2 linked regions of the Diceros bicornis minor genome follow. The protein of the gene in region 1 purifies or fractionates together with the protein of each later gene. This does not show direct contact. Links are inferred from orthologs where the notes say so. Each region holds a gene or a part of one and is shown in the gene's direction. Other genes may lie near its edges.

What was found. Proteins that work in one complex are often made in the same cells at the same time.
Region 2: the proteins of HAUS5 (region 1) and HAUS2 purify together in Homo sapiens (affinity purification with mass spectrometry; 5 studies listed by BioGRID and IntAct, with this or other methods). This does not show direct contact. The link is inferred for Diceros bicornis minor from reciprocal best matches to the Homo sapiens genes HAUS5 and HAUS2.

Annotation. Positions count from the first base shown.
Region 1 is NC_080773.1:8,947,238-8,954,630, reverse strand, and holds the start of HAUS5 (HAUS augmin-like complex subunit 5), read left to right. Parts: upstream 1-4,287; 5' UTR 4,288-4,319; coding exon 4,320-4,417; intron 4,418-5,136; coding exon 5,137-5,199; intron 5,200-5,290; coding exon 5,291-5,323; intron 5,324-5,456; coding exon 5,457-5,481; intron 5,482-6,088; coding exon 6,089-6,194; intron 6,195-6,273; coding exon 6,274-6,433; intron 6,434-7,015; coding exon 7,016-7,118; intron 7,119-7,212; coding exon 7,213-7,295; intron 7,296-7,393.
Region 2 is NC_080744.1:40,120,502-40,128,199, forward strand, and holds the start of HAUS2 (HAUS augmin-like complex subunit 2), read left to right. Parts: upstream 1-4,372; 5' UTR 4,373-4,403; coding exon 4,404-4,496; intron 4,497-7,698. Other genes in the region: LRRC57 (leucine-rich repeat-containing protein 57), read right to left, coding at 15-56, 492-677, 2,802-3,070, 3,654-3,792, 3,899-3,982.

The DNA of each region.
Region 1 (7,393 bases):
CTTCTTCCCTCCCTCCATCCTTGGAAGAAACCACTGAATTCATGTTGCTGTGAGTCAATCCTCAAAGTATTTTGCACTTTTACTCATTATGTGCGGGTACGCTTGATGATGCAGTTGCTGTTTCGGGTGTGTAGGAGTCCTTAGTAACTTCTGACAAGTCTCTCCAGCTCTTCACCTGCCAGACCTCACCTTCTGCTTTCTCAGTTGGCCCAGCTGATGCTTCAGTTCACATGGTCATAAAAATGCCAATTTTTATGAGGAAATTAGAGACAGGATGGTCTGAGATGTGCCAGATATTGATCACAAATTTTGAAAGTGTATATCCAAGAAGCAAAGGATAAGGATCCATCTCTGGGTATTGATGGTAATAAAGAAGGTTCCATCCCCCAAAAGTAGTGTCCTATAGACTGTACTTCTTAAACTTCAATGTGCACCCAAATCACTGACAGATTTTGTCAAAATGCAGGTTTTGTAAGTCCGGGGTTGAGGAGCAAGGGATTCTCCATTGCTAACAAGCCCCTGAGGGATGCTGTGGATATTGGTCCCTGAAAACCTTGCTAGCGGCAAATTACAGGCATTAATGTGGAAGCTTGAGGTTTATCAAACAGGGATTAGGAGAGGAACACAGGGTGTCCATCTCAGTAACGAAAATCATTTTGCCCCAAGTATGTTGAACAGACTGAACACAGTGCAAGTACAAACATGACATGTTTCTTCTCCTGTGAGTAATGTGCCAATATCACCTTTTTGCATCAGCCTTTTGGGGGGTGGAGAAGAAGACACCCCTCCTCTCATGGGGGAGAGGGGGAGGGAAAGCTACTGCAGCTTCTTCCATGAACAACAGCTTGATGTCACAGTGATTTCTCAGACGTCAAGAGTTTCTGCTTACAGAGGGTATCCAGGTTCAGAGAGGGTGAACCACTAGTGGAGATATAATAGATAGATAGATAGATAGATAGATAGATAGATAGATAGTTGATAGATGAGATAGATAGACAGATAGATGAGAGAGATAATAGGGATTTGACCTCATGCAATTTGTAGAGTTGTTAAGCGGTCCCTAAGGTTGTTGTCTTAGTGTCTGATGCTGGCACTCAAAGTGCACAGAGCAGGCAGTTAGGAAGGGGAGACAGGCGTAGAGCGGGGGAAAGCTAGGACAAGCTGGAACGAGTTTGCCTCTGACCTTGGTGGTACGAGTGTCCACGGAAGCTGGCACTCTTCATCATGGAGCTAAACACACACCTGGCCCAGGAGTTAGAGAAGCTGAAGGAAGATCCAGGAGAAGGTGGCACGAGCGCTGGCCTGGTTGCTGCCCTATGCAAACACAGTGAGTCAGCGCCAGCCAGCAACAACCTGCGTGATCTACCAAATGGCAGCTGCTTCACTTCTGCCCTCCCAATCTTGCCCAAGAATCTCTTTTGTCCCATCCTGACTGAATATACAGCGAAGGAAATTCTAGGATATAGTTCATTCAGCCTAGTCAAGCTGACACATTACAAAGTCACCTCAGAGAGACTGGAGGAGAGTGGTGAGAAGACGGTTAGCGGCTGCTAGGAAGATGGTCACATGACCAGCTCTGCTCTCTCTTAGGCATCTTGAGAGGATGTGTCTAATAACCCCCGAGTGGCTTTTTTTAGAGTTAGGGGGCAAACCACCGGTAGTTATGTCTTATTTGGGCTTAACTTTTCTTCCAAAGCATACAGAATTCTCTTATTTTTGTATGTAATTATACAGCTTGAGTCAAGTTGCATCTGATTAGTCATCACTAAGGTTATAGATCTTTCATTAAATATTGCAGCTTTCAGGCAATACTTTTTTTAATAGACTTTATTTTTTGTGGGCAGTTTTATGCTTACAGAAAATTGCACAAAAAGTAAAGAAAGTTCTCACATACCTTTTCTCCCTCCACACACGTTTTCCCCTATTATTACCATCTTGCAGGAGTATGGGACATTTGTTACAATTGATGACATTGAAACATTGTTACTAACTAGAATCCATAAGTTACATTAGGGCTCACTCTGTGTTGTACCCCTCGACGGTTTTTTTTACAAACGCATAAGGTGATGTATCCACCATGACAATATCATACAAAATAGTTTCACTCCTCCTAAAAATGCCCTGTGCTTCATCTTTTCATCCCTAACCCCCATCCCATGATCCCCCAGCAACCACTCATCTTTTTACTGTTCTCCATAGTTTTGCCTTTTCCAGAATGCCATATAGTGGAATCATACAGTATATCACCTTTCCGATTGTCTTCCAAAGTGGCTGTATAATTTTGCATTCCCACCAGCAATGAACGAGAGTTCCTGTTGCTCCACATCCTCAACAGTATTTGGTGGTGTCATTGTTTTGGATTTTAGACATTCTAATAGGTGTGTAGAGGTATCCCATGGTTGTTTTAATTTGCAATTCCCTGATGACATATGATGTTGAGCAACTTTTCATATGCCTATTTGCCATCTGTACATCTTCTTTGGTGAGACATCTGTTCATAAGTTTTGTCCTTTTTTTAACGGGATTATTTGTTTTCTTCTGGTTGACTTTTAAGAGTTCTTTGTATATTTGGGATACAAGTCCCTCATCATATATGTTTTGCAAATATTTTCCCCCAGCCTGTGACTTGTGTTTTCATTCTCTTAACAGCCAATACTTTTTAAAGCCCCTTGAAAAGCTCATAGACCCATGGCACACATACTGTCTAATTGATTTTTTTTAATAGCAAAACACCCCACAAACAGTGGAAGAGTGGAGATGTTTGAAAGAAACATCAGCTGTTGAGAAATCAAGCATCGTGAAGTAGCAGCTGCTAACCTTTCTTCCGGGAAGCCCAACTGGATTACAACCTGGCACCCTCTTCTGCTTCTCATTTTTTTGGGGTTTTTTTGTTTTTTTTTTTAATTTTATTTATTTATTTCCCCAAAGCCGCAGTAAATAGTCGTATGTCATAGCTGCACATCCTTCTAGTTGCTGCATGTGGGACGCGGCCTCAGCATGGCCCGAGAAGCGGTGCGTCGGTGCGCGCCTGGGATCGGAACCCGGCAGCCAGGAGCGGAGCGCGTGCACTTAACCACTAAGCCAGGGGGCCGGCCCTGCTTCTCAGTTTGTATGAAGCATTTGAAACTGCACTCAGCTTCTCCCCCAAATCTGCTATCTCAGTGGTGATCCCATGATCCCCTTGGATATCCCCTTGGCTCCTCATACCCATCGAGTCCCACATTGTTATCAGCATCTCCCCCAAAGCTGCCCCTTCTCTCATGTCCCCATTTCAAAGTCTGCTCCACCTAATCCCCAGCCCAGAGCCCTGGACCTCACCCTGGATGCCCCACCCACCCCGTACAGCCAAGTACAGCCAATAGACCTCATGACCCATCCACTCAGTCTCCCCCTCTCTGCTCCACAGCCATAAGCACTGCCCTCACCCCCACTCCTTATCCCGTTCCACCCTCCTCCCTGGGTTCCTAACTTTAGTCTCACCCCACCACCTTTCCTCCCATTTGTTTATTCAACAACTATTTAGAGAGTCTGGCTCTGTAGTGGACACTGAGGACAGACTGGTGACCTAGGCAAGCATGTTGCATGAAAAGTCACTGAATGTTGCCATTTCTCAGGGCCCTGTCTGAGGCCGAGTGGGCTCTCCGGAACTCCAGCCCCAGCATCCAGTGCTTTCTGGGGCACCCCACAGACCTCTCACACTCCCTGTGTCCCAAATTGACCCACCCCTCCTGCTTATTTTCTACCATTCCTACCTGGTGATGCGTCCGTGTCCCCCACTGAACCGTGAGCACCGTAGCATGGAGACTGGGGCTGTCTCAGCCCCCCGTGGTGTCCCCAGCACAGGGTTGGCTCTTGAAGGTTATGGTATGGTATGGACAAGAAAGCACGCCAGGGAGATATTAGGGTCATGCTATCTGCCCTCTATCCCTCACTCAGATCTGAGAGACGCTGTTTCTGAAATCAAAGAGCAGTAAGGTTGGCATCTCCTCGCCTGGTTCTCATCCTCCTAGGATGGAAGTCCCATTTTGTCAAGAAAATCAAGGGAGGCATTGGGGACCTTTTGCCTCTGAGGGAACAGCTGGTGTGAGTGTGAGGACGCGGAAAGCAAGCGGGGCCCACCGTTTCTCCACTCCCCTTTCATCTTCGCTCAATGGGATCCACCCTGGAGGAGCGAGACAGCAGGACAGCTCCGAGACCCGGCAAACCAAGAGGCGCCCGTCTGCCTGGCAACCGACGACGTCACTGTCGGCGCCCTCGTGGCGTCATAGGCAGGCGCCACGCTTGAAGAGGGCGCGGGAGGCGGCGGCCGCGGCGCTGTCATGGAGTTAGCGCAGGAAGCGCGGGAATTGGGTTGCTGGGCGGCCGAAGAGATGGAGGCGCCCGTGGGGGCCCGGGCCTCGGAGGCGACGCTGCGCAGGTGAGGGTCCTGGAAGCGAGGACTGCCCGCCCTGGAGGTAGAGTCTCCGGGAGAGAGAACCCCATCTTCACTGGAGACGGGCCCATCCCCCTCCCACTGCGCCGCGGTGAGAATAACCCCAGAGGGCGCCCCCCACCCCGGAGTAGTACATCCAGGAAGAGGATCCCGGGTTTGAGTTAGGACGCCCTGGCGGTGACCTCCACACTGCCACCCCCACCTGCGAGGCCGCCCAGAGTGAGGTCCCTGGCACCAGGGAGGATCCTCCATGAGTTAATGGAGCCCCCTTCTCGTGTGGAAATAGGATCTCCAGGGTAAGGCTGTCCCTGCAGCACCTCACCACCGACCCCCCACTCCAGCCCAGCCAAGACCATCCCATTGGAGCCTGAATCCATAGCAGTGGTAACCCGCATCTGGTAACAAGAGAGCACTTCCTGGCAGTACACTCCCACCCCCACCTCTGGAAGTAACTGGAGATAACCCTCTCCCAGGAGAAAGGGAGCACCCCACCAGGGAATGAGAATACCCCCACACCCAGTGAGAAACCCACCCTCTCGGACTGAGAAGTCCCCAGAAAGGAATATCCTACCCCAAAAAGTATGGGCCCTCCCTCCCCCCAGAAGTGAGAATTCCCTAGTAAAGACTTCCTCACCACCACCACCCTGGGAATGATGATCCTCCCCGCTGTGTGATGTACACACCCTTACACGCTGTCCCCACAGGCTGTGTCTGGGCCAGGGGGCCGACATCTGGGCCTACGTCTTGCGGCATGTGCACAGCCAGAGGTGAGCCTGGCTGCATGAGGGAGGCTGTGGCAGGGGAGGGGACACAGGCAAGGCCCCAGTAACTCCTCTTCATCCTACCTCTCCACTGTAGGAGTGTGAAGAAGATCCGGGGAAACCTCCTCTGGTAACTGGTCCTCAAAGCTATCCCTTCCTCTCTTCCCTGGTCCCATCTAACCATGTCCCCACCCACAGCGTCACACCTCCCATCTCCCTCTGGAATTCCCTGTCTGCCCCTAACTCTGGCCTCATTTCCTCAGGTATGGCCACCAGGACAGTCCAGAGGTGAGAAGCATGTGCTACACGATTTTTTTCATCCAAAAAAAGGATGTGTAGACCTTCTGCTCTAGGCCCAGCCTTGTGCTGGGTGATGCTGGGGACACTGTGTCACAGGCCCTGATCCCTGCACTCACGGGGCTTACAGTCCAGGGGGAGACAGGCATGAGCTGGGGGTTGGGGGGACATGGACATGAGGCATCAAAGCTGGTGAGGGGAGATGGGAGGAGGGACTGGTTTTAGAGAGGTACTGAGGCCAGTGTGGGACCCAGTATATGCAAGGGGCCCAGGTGATATCTAGGAGGATGCTTCCAGGAGACCTCAGGACTCCAAGATGTGGGACTCGGTGGGGAGCTGAGGACTGGGACAGAGACGGAGTGCCATCAGCGCAGAGACAGGAAGGGAGGGTAGGTGAAGGCAGTCCCAGGAGGATGGAGGAGGCCAGGATAGCACCCTAGAGCTTTCTGGGCCTAGAGGTTCAGACACAGAAACTGCTTAGGAAAAACTCCTGCCACCCACCTGGGCAGGTGAGGAGACCGGTTCTGCACAAAGAGCAGTCAGGCCAGGCTGAGCCCCAGCCAGGCCACACATCTGACCCTGAGTCTGATCCCACCAGGCCCGTCGGAAGCTGGAGCTGGAAGCTGCTGTTGCCCGCCTGCGGGCAGAAATCCTGGAGTTAGACCAGAGCCTGGAGCTGACAGAGCGAGAGACCGAGGCTCAGGGTGACCCATGGGGGCTGGGCAGATGGGCAGCAGAACGGGGGTAGGGGAAATGCTGATGGCCAACCCGTTTCTCCCACAGACATAGCCATGGAGCAGGCCCTGCAGAGCATGCAAGACACCCAGCGCCGTGCTCTCCTCCTCCGGGCGCAAGCCAGGGCCATGCGAAGACAGCAGCGTGGGCTCCAGGATCCCGTACAGCGGCTGCAGAATCAGCTCAGGCGCTTGCAGGACACAGAGAGGTGGGCCTCAGGTGCCCAGGGACCAGCTGGCACCAGGCTTGGAGGACAGACGTTCTCCTCGGAGACCCCGGGGCTCTGCCTTGACCCCTTCTTGGGCTCCAGAATTCTGAGCTGCACTCCTTAGGATTTAAAGTCCGTGAGGCCAGGAAATTTTGTCATCTCAGCCACCTGTATCCAGTGCCTAGAATGGTGCAGACTATATAGAATGCCAGTGTGGGGGAAAGTATCGAGGTGGGTATGTTAATTGAGGTGAATCCTGCAAAGTGCTTAGAAGAGTTCCTAATATCCATCGTTATTATTCTGAATGTGATGGGAACATAGCACGTTGTTTTCGAGGGTTTTGAGCAGAACACTGACATGGTCAGTCTGAGGTTCTAACAGGATCATTGACTACTGAGTGGAGAAAAGACTGCAGAGGGCGAGAGCAGAGAGAGCAGTGAGGAGGCTAATGCAGTCGTCCAGCCAGGAGATGACAATGGCCTAATTTTGGAGGTGGCCCCTGAGATCCAGGCTTGGTGATCCCTGTGACTAGCTTTGCTGGCAGCAGGAGGGGACACAGCTCTCCCAACTCCCTCCTCCCAGGGACCCCAGCCCCAACTGCACTCCTCTCTCCAGGAAGGCCAAAATGAATATAACCTTTGGACCCTTGACATCAGCAGCCCTGGGCCTAGAGCCTGTGGTCCTGGTAAGAGCCCTGGGCCATGAGGGAAGGAGTGGGGAATCTGGGGTCAAGTGGACCCCTGGGTCTCCCTCACGCTCCATCATCCTCTTCTTCCCAGAGTGATGTCCGAACAGCCTGCACTCTCCGGACCCAGTTCCTGCAGAACCTCCTGACTCCTCAGGCCAAGGGAGGCAGCATCCTGTGAGTGTCCCCCAGCCCCCAGAGACCCTGCAAAGAACCGGGGCTCTGGGGAGAGTTACTTGTCTATTAATTCCTCAGACACTGAGCCTCTGGGCTAT
Region 2 (7,698 bases), on another chromosome or scaffold:
GCTCCTGGAGAACATCATGCAAACTTCTTCTTGGTGGCCGTGAACCTCTCCATGTACTAAAAATCATCAAAGAAGAATATATATGAGGTATTTTGGCATAAACAAATGTTAGCCTATTTGTTACTTAGCTTTTTATATTTTTTTAATGTAGGTTTTTATTGGAAATGGTCCTTCATTTCCTATAAAATCTACCTATTTTAAATGCAGGTTTGAAGCACATCGTTTTGGGGTTTTTTAATTTTTTCTTTTAAATTTTAATAGGAAACCTATCAAAAGACGAAGATGCTTTACAATACATTGTCAAGAGAAAAAGTCATCTTGGCACAATACTATTGGCTGATTCTTAGAACCCACCTCCAAAATGGGGAATAAATCTTGTTGACAAACAGGATTATACATACATCCTATAGCTATCAACATTCATGTGGGTTACTTCACTGTTGTCTTCTCTGGAACAGTGACTAGAAATGCAGAAGTACACTAATACATACCTTCTCATAGCCTTCTAGTTCTCGAAGTTTCTTTATTTCAAAAAGGTTGCCTTCCACAGCAAGCAGACAGATCTGGGAATCACTGAGGATGCTCTGTGGAAGCATGCTGAGCTCAAGGCAGTTCTCTTCCAGGCGAAGAACTTTAAGGCGAGGACAGCAAGATATCTTTACTGAGATCTGAGATATCTATTGAACAACAAAAAAGAATAACAGGAAAAAGCATAAGAATTATAATGGTTATTTTTTACTAAATTAAAACAAAAAACTTTTACTTGACTATTTGTCCTAGTTCTCCTTTTACCGCCTCCGTTTTCTCACTACCTACTCGTTCCAGAAGCCTCTGTGATCTAGCTTCTGTTACTACTCCTCCACTTTTTCGAAAAAAAAAAATTGCTTTCTGAAGGTCACCAGTGACTTTTTTGGAAACAACATTTTCTGATAATAATAGCACTGTTTATTATAGGAAATGTGAGGATCACACAAGTTTAAAGAAAAAAGTTACCTGTAATCTGCCACCATAAACATTTTGGTACATTTATTGCCAATCTAGGTACTTTTGCCTAGAAAGCTCATCCATTCTTAAACCTATCACTTATGTTAAGACCTCAAAATCTGTATCTACATTCATGTCTGTTCACTCCTATGTCTCCAATTTTTAGCAAAACATTTTCATTTGGATGATTCACCATTATAATAAATTCAGCATGTCCATTCTCAATAGCACCACTTTTCTTTTAGGCCCTCAAGCTTAATACCAAGCAATTATCTTTGACTCATTCACCTCTTTTGCCCTTTAAATGTTCCAAGTCACCAAACTATATTTACTCTGCCTGTATCATCTCAGACCAACAACTGGGAACTTGTTAGAAATGCTAACTCCTAGAACCCACCACAGACCTACTTAATTAGAAACACTGAGGGTAGGGGCCCGGTCATCTCTTTTAGCAAGCTCTCTCAGTTATTCTGATGCACACTAGAATCTGAGAACCACTGATTAAGGCATCAGCATAGGTGAATGTGGAGTGAGAGCTCAATTAATTGTTGCTTAACTTTTTTTCCAAAATTTTTTTCCACATAATTTTTTTCTAAAAAGCTCAAGGATATCCTATTAAGGAAAAGAAGAGGCCCATCTATCTCCTCAAAGACAGACTGAATTTCATTATAATGTAAGGTCACTACAAGCTAGAACAGTTTTGTCCAATCAAACTTTTTGCAGTTTGATTGGAATGTGCTATATCTGTGCTGTCCAATATAGTAGCCACTAGCCACATATGGCTTTTGAGCACTTGAAATATGGCTAGTGGCAACTGAGGAACTGAATTTTGAAATCTAATTTAAATGAATTTTAATAGCCACATGTGGCTAGTGGCTACTTTATTGGACTGCAAATCTAGAAGCACAGACACTAGAAAAACTAAAGGCTACCTAGTCTCACTATGTTTAATGTTTCATCAATTGTGCTTTATATCTACACCAACAGTTGTTTCTCCAGTCAGATACACATTAACCAAAGAGCTTCCAAATGGAAACAAATTTCAAATATTACAATTAAAAGCGTACAGGGGCGGGCCCTGTGGCATAGCGGTTAAGTTTGGTGTACTCTGCTTTGGCAGCCCAGGTTTGGATCCTAGGCGCTGACCTATACCACTCGTCAGCCATGCTGTGGTGGCAACCCACATATAAAGTAGAGAAAGATTTGCACAGACGTTAGCTGAAGGCTAATCTTCCTCAAGCAAAAAAAAAAAAAAACTGAGGAAGACTGGCAACAGGTAATAGCTCAGGGCTAATCTCCTCAGCAAAAAAACAGACACAAAGCTGTACAACAATGAAATGGGCTATCTCCAGACAGCCTATCACTGGCAGTTTTTCAGCAAAAGCAGGACACACACTTGACAAAAATATCAAAAAAAGGACAACTGAATTACCTCTGATATTCAACTCTAAGAACTTGTGAATTTAAGCCTCTTTTCCACTCTATCTTCCTGACATAGCTCCTTGCTAGATGATTAGAGGCATATTTGAGGAGGATCTGAAGAACTCTTCAAGATTTTTGAGACAGTAGTTTAACTTTTGAAATTATCTCACCCTGTTACCCATCCCACCCTCCAAAAAACAACTACACAACAAACATACCCAGTGTCTCAACTCCATGGCACTTTGGGCTTTGAAATTAGTCTAGTCCATAGAATATACCTCTCATCTAGCCTCTGATACCCAGCTCCATGATTACAGTTTAGAGAACAACAGGTTATTCAGGAGACCGTAAACCTACATATACACTGTAGAAAAAAAGTCCCTTAAGCTCTAGACCTGGTTCTGATTGAGGTTGAGTTCGATGACCTGCAGCTCCCCCACTATGTCAGGTATGCTCCGAATCTGGTTCTTGGAGAGATCTACCATATCCAGGTGCTGTAGGCTACAAAGTTGGGGTGGTAGTGCTCGCAGCTGGTTCCCAGAAAGGCTCAGGGTCTTGAGGGCAGACAGTTGCCCAAAGGTAGATGGCAGCTCTCTCAAGTGATTGTTGTTTAGGCTTAGCATCTCTAGTTTTTTCAGATTGCATAATTCATCAGGAAGAACAGCTAGCAAAGAAAAAAAATTTAAAACCTGAATCTGGTACAGGTGAAAAATATCTTTGATGAAGTTGATAAAAACTGTATGGCAGCCTGCTATACCTCTTGTTAATACACATAGAATTCCCACATGTTGTGGCATTTTTAAGTATTGTATTTTTACCAAACATAGTCTTCAGAAGGTGAAAGTGCCATCAAAACACAGGAAAGCATTTATGTGTATATGGGCTCCTTTTGTAAAGGGGCCTCTGCACAATCCGACAGTAATTTTGTGGGATTTGGAAGGCCCTCCCCACCCCATTCCATACCCCCTTCCAAATTAGCAGCAAAATTAGCTCTGTTTACATAATATCCCAAAGATGGTCCCTTCCCTTTCAAGTCCAAATTAACCCAGTACCAATCATTATACCACCAGAGGAGGCTTGCAGATATAATTACAAGAGACAGAAAACTTCAAGGACTCTGACATTCTCCTGCGTCTAGAGCTCTCTGAACGGTTTCATTAACAACAACAAAAATCAGCTTGTAAGAGAAAACCACCCTTCTTAACAGCTGATCACTAGCAACAGCTTCCCAGGCGCAAAAGCCATACTCAGTTTGTTGTTGTTCAAGGAGAGGCTCTTCAGCAGAGTGAACTTCCCTATAATCATAGGCGGTAGGCTCTCAATCTTGTTGTTGGACAAGTCGATGGTCCTGAGATTGCTCGTCAGCTTCTGCAACTCTAAGGGGAACTGGAGAAAGGGGTTCACAGCGCAAAGAATCCCTCACCGATTAATTTCACCGCCCCCGCCGTCCCTCTCCCTCTAAATTCCCTGGTCGGGTCCCTCCCAGTCTCACCTCGGTTAGCCCACGGTCCTTAAGCTGAAAGACACCGGTTTTCTGCGCCGTTTCCACATGAGCGCGGAGGGCACTGTTTCCCATCCTAGCGCCGCGGCTCAAGTCCCTGAGGGAAGGAAGCGCAGCTGTCACCGCTCGGTCCAGGCCCCCCCAAGCCGCCCCGCTGGCCTCCTGGTCTCACACCCCAGCTGTCACCTCCCGCCGATCCTGGATCTTGCAGGCCAGCCCAAGAGCGGCAAGGAAGAAAGGGAAGAACAGACAGCCTGACCACCAGGCTCTGCCGCTTTTGCAGCTGCTCTGAGACTATAAGCCGCTAGGAGCCTACGGAGAATCAGGGAGCCCCGGACTCGCCGCCTACCCTTCAGCTCACAGCGGTAGACCCGGGAACCGCGCTCCGCGGGCTTCCGCCCGGGCGGTAACGCCCCGTGACGTCATCGAGCCGCGCGGCGCGTTCGCCTTGCGTTGCACTCACTCTCGGCACCGCGCGGGGAGGTGGGTCCCAGTCATGGCTGCGGGGAACCCCTGGGACCCGGCGTCGGCGCCAAACGCTGCCGGCCTACTCCTGGACCATTTCGTAGCTTCAGGGATGGTCACTCAGGTGCGTGGGCGGCAATGACGTCATTAAGGGAATGCTCACGGTGGCGACAGAAGATGGCTGTGAGGTGGTGGTACTGGCTGCGGGAGTGGGTGTGAGGGTGCTGGCAGGGGGCGGTACTAGAGTAGAGACAAATGGAGCCCCTTCCAGACAGCAGCAGTGACTGTTCTGCAGTAGGTTCTGCGGAAGCGGGGCTCTGAGTAGATGGTGTTTCAAGTGTCTGCCGGCGAGTTATCCCAGGTCAGCTCGTGGTCTCGAGATAATAAAAACCGGTGTTCCGCCGCTTTTTTTCATCCAGTGAAACCGCCTCTAGATTGTAATCGGTGGCAGGGTTGGAAAATATGCTAAATAGTTAAACATTAGTTCCCAAACGTTCGTTTGTGTGAAGTATTGAAGCATATTTGGGGAGGGAGGCGCAGGGTATGGGAGAACGCCAGGGGAAGCACTCATCTTTAAAGGCAAAAAAAAAAAAAACGTATTGGCGAAGAAGACCCGAAAGACCTTGGACCGTCCGTGGAGGAAGGGATGAATTTTGAGAAGGGGAGAAGAGGAAGATTAGCCCAAGGGGTGGTAGTTTTAGGTTGGGCAAGAAGAGCATGTTCATAGCCAAAGGGAAGGAGCCAATAGAGGGAGAAATTGGAGATGTGAGAGAACGGAATACAAGTGGCAGAAGTGACAAGGGAGTGGGGAAAGTGGCATTGAAGGAAAGAAATTTTGAGATAAAGAGGAAGTCAAGGAATTTCACTAAAAAAACAGAAAAGTAGAAAGTTGAAATCATCTGCAGAGATTAGCAGTGTGAACATGATGGAAGATTTATGGAAAATACACAATTTTTTATACTTAGAAGAGTCATTAGAGAATTCTGCTACCCAACATTATTTTTAAGATGAAGAAACGAAGGCCTTAGGAGACCAAGACCCTTGCCCAACGTCACTCAGCTTAGTGAAATAGAATTAGATCCCAGAGTTCTCCTTTTCTGACGCATTGTATCATCTCTAAGAGGAACTGTGATAGATGATACTGTGACACTATCTTGAAAGAATGTAAATTTCTGTTGAAGAACTCTTCTAGATTACTTGAAGACCTAGTAACCAGACCTTATGGATTTGGGGGCAAACAAAAGGTAGTAATGAATGCATTGGTAAATAGGCAAAACAAAACGACAGCACTCCCCAGTTTTCACCTTCCTCACTTCTCTCCAGTGTTTTCTTCCTACCAAGTTGCCCGGTGCTCACTTGTACTGTCCAGTTCTGTAACAAAGTAATTTGGTAACTCACACTGTAACTCATTTGGGACTTATCCCTTTAGAGTGTTGGTAGGATGTATGAACACCTAAACGGAAGAATGAAGTCTGGTGAGAGACTTCCATCAACCATTGATGGGTGAGCTGTTTGGTAGGGTGGTAGTTGTTTTTGGGAGAATCTTCCTAGTGTCCTTCAAGTAACACTAATCACACAGTTACCTATTTTGCAAACAGGTAAGTTCTGCCAATCCACAGCTCCTTAAGACTGTCTTACAGTCTTATTGCACAGCTAGTCCCAAAGAGAAAACTTTACAGATTTGTAGCAGGATTTTACTTTAAGTAAACTATACATATGAAAACCTATTTTTTTATTAGAAGGATTTAGCATTGATTCTTTCAAAATGATGTATTATATGATCCCTTTAAACAGTCCATCCCTTAAGGATGGACTTAAGGGGACATCATCCCATGTGCATTAACTATTGAGTGATGCTTAAAATTGTGATACGGTACAACTCTTCTAGAAAACATAGCTTGTTTGAGCTTTGTTCTGTTTTGATCTATCTGTTGGAGAAGGATTTAGTGAGAGAAAGGTAGGATTAACTCTCTGTAGGATAATATAGGGTATTTGCTTTTGTTTATGCCCTAATACTGTTTTAGTGGCCTTACATCCGAGATATTTTCCCAGCAAGCCTGAATGAGTCATGACCTCTTGATCAAAGCTCCCTATACTGGCGATGCGTAAGATAAGGATCTGGACCTACAAAAAAACTCAGAATTTACTATTTTCTAATATGTATATACACATACTATATATATACACACACACACATTATATATATATATAAAAAATGTATAATTACTGTTTTCTCTATCTGTGCTCTGCCCTCCCCCATTTTAGAGCCTCTGCTCTTAATTTCTCTGCCATACTGCCTCCCTTTTATTGTCACCCAGCTAGAATTCAGTATGAAAAAGAAAGGACAGAAAAAAGAAAAGAGGGTGCCCACAGATACAAGTTTATACATGTGTATATTAAATACACAGTATTATTAGGATTTTTATATTAAGCATAGAGGTCTTGGATTTTAGCTTCTTTTGCCTAGCAAAAGAATAAACAGAACCTTTTCTCAGGATCCGTTCATTTTCAGGGTCCCTTTGCCCCAGTGGCATGTAAAATATATAATGTATAATGGCAGTAGTCAATGGTGAAGACTTTTCTGTGTTCTCCAATCCTTGCTTTTTTTTCTTTTTTACAGGTGTAGGGCCAAGTCACAATCCTCAAATAGTTAGAATTTCTATTTACTAGAAGAATTTGGCTGCTCTTTCTTTCCTCTCTCCTTTTGGCTCTCCCCTTCTTGAACATTGTTAATTTCCCTCTGGTTTCTCTTGCATGTTCTTGGCTAAGCTCCATTACTCTGTTGTTGAACCCAACAGTTTACTAGTTTGCAAATGTGCAGCTAAGATTAGTGTACACACATGGAGGAATGGAGAGATACCAGAGAGTGAGTAGGTTACAACGAGAAATGAAAGATGTTTTACTTTCATTTACCTTCTACCTAAGAGAGAGCAGAAAGAAAAGAATCAGGCTGATATGATGGAAATGCAGTGGATTAGATGTGTTCTCATTTCTGTCCTGATACACATTGGCAGTGTGAAGTGGAACTAATACTTAACCTCCCCAATCCTCAATTTTGCCATCGGTAAAATAACTTGTGTTATCTACCTCAACAGATGGCATAATTATCTGTCCAGTCACCTAAAGGAGGCTCTTTGGAGTCAGTATTGACTTGACTTTTTCTCTCACTCCTCATATCAGCTAGGACTTATCAGTTCCATCTTTCCAGGCACTCATATCTCTGCCTTCCTTCCATTTTAATTGCTGCTGACCTAGTCCACATGCTCATTTTCCCACCTGGAATGCTGTAGCAGCCACCTGGCTAAATATCCAACCTCCAGTCCATC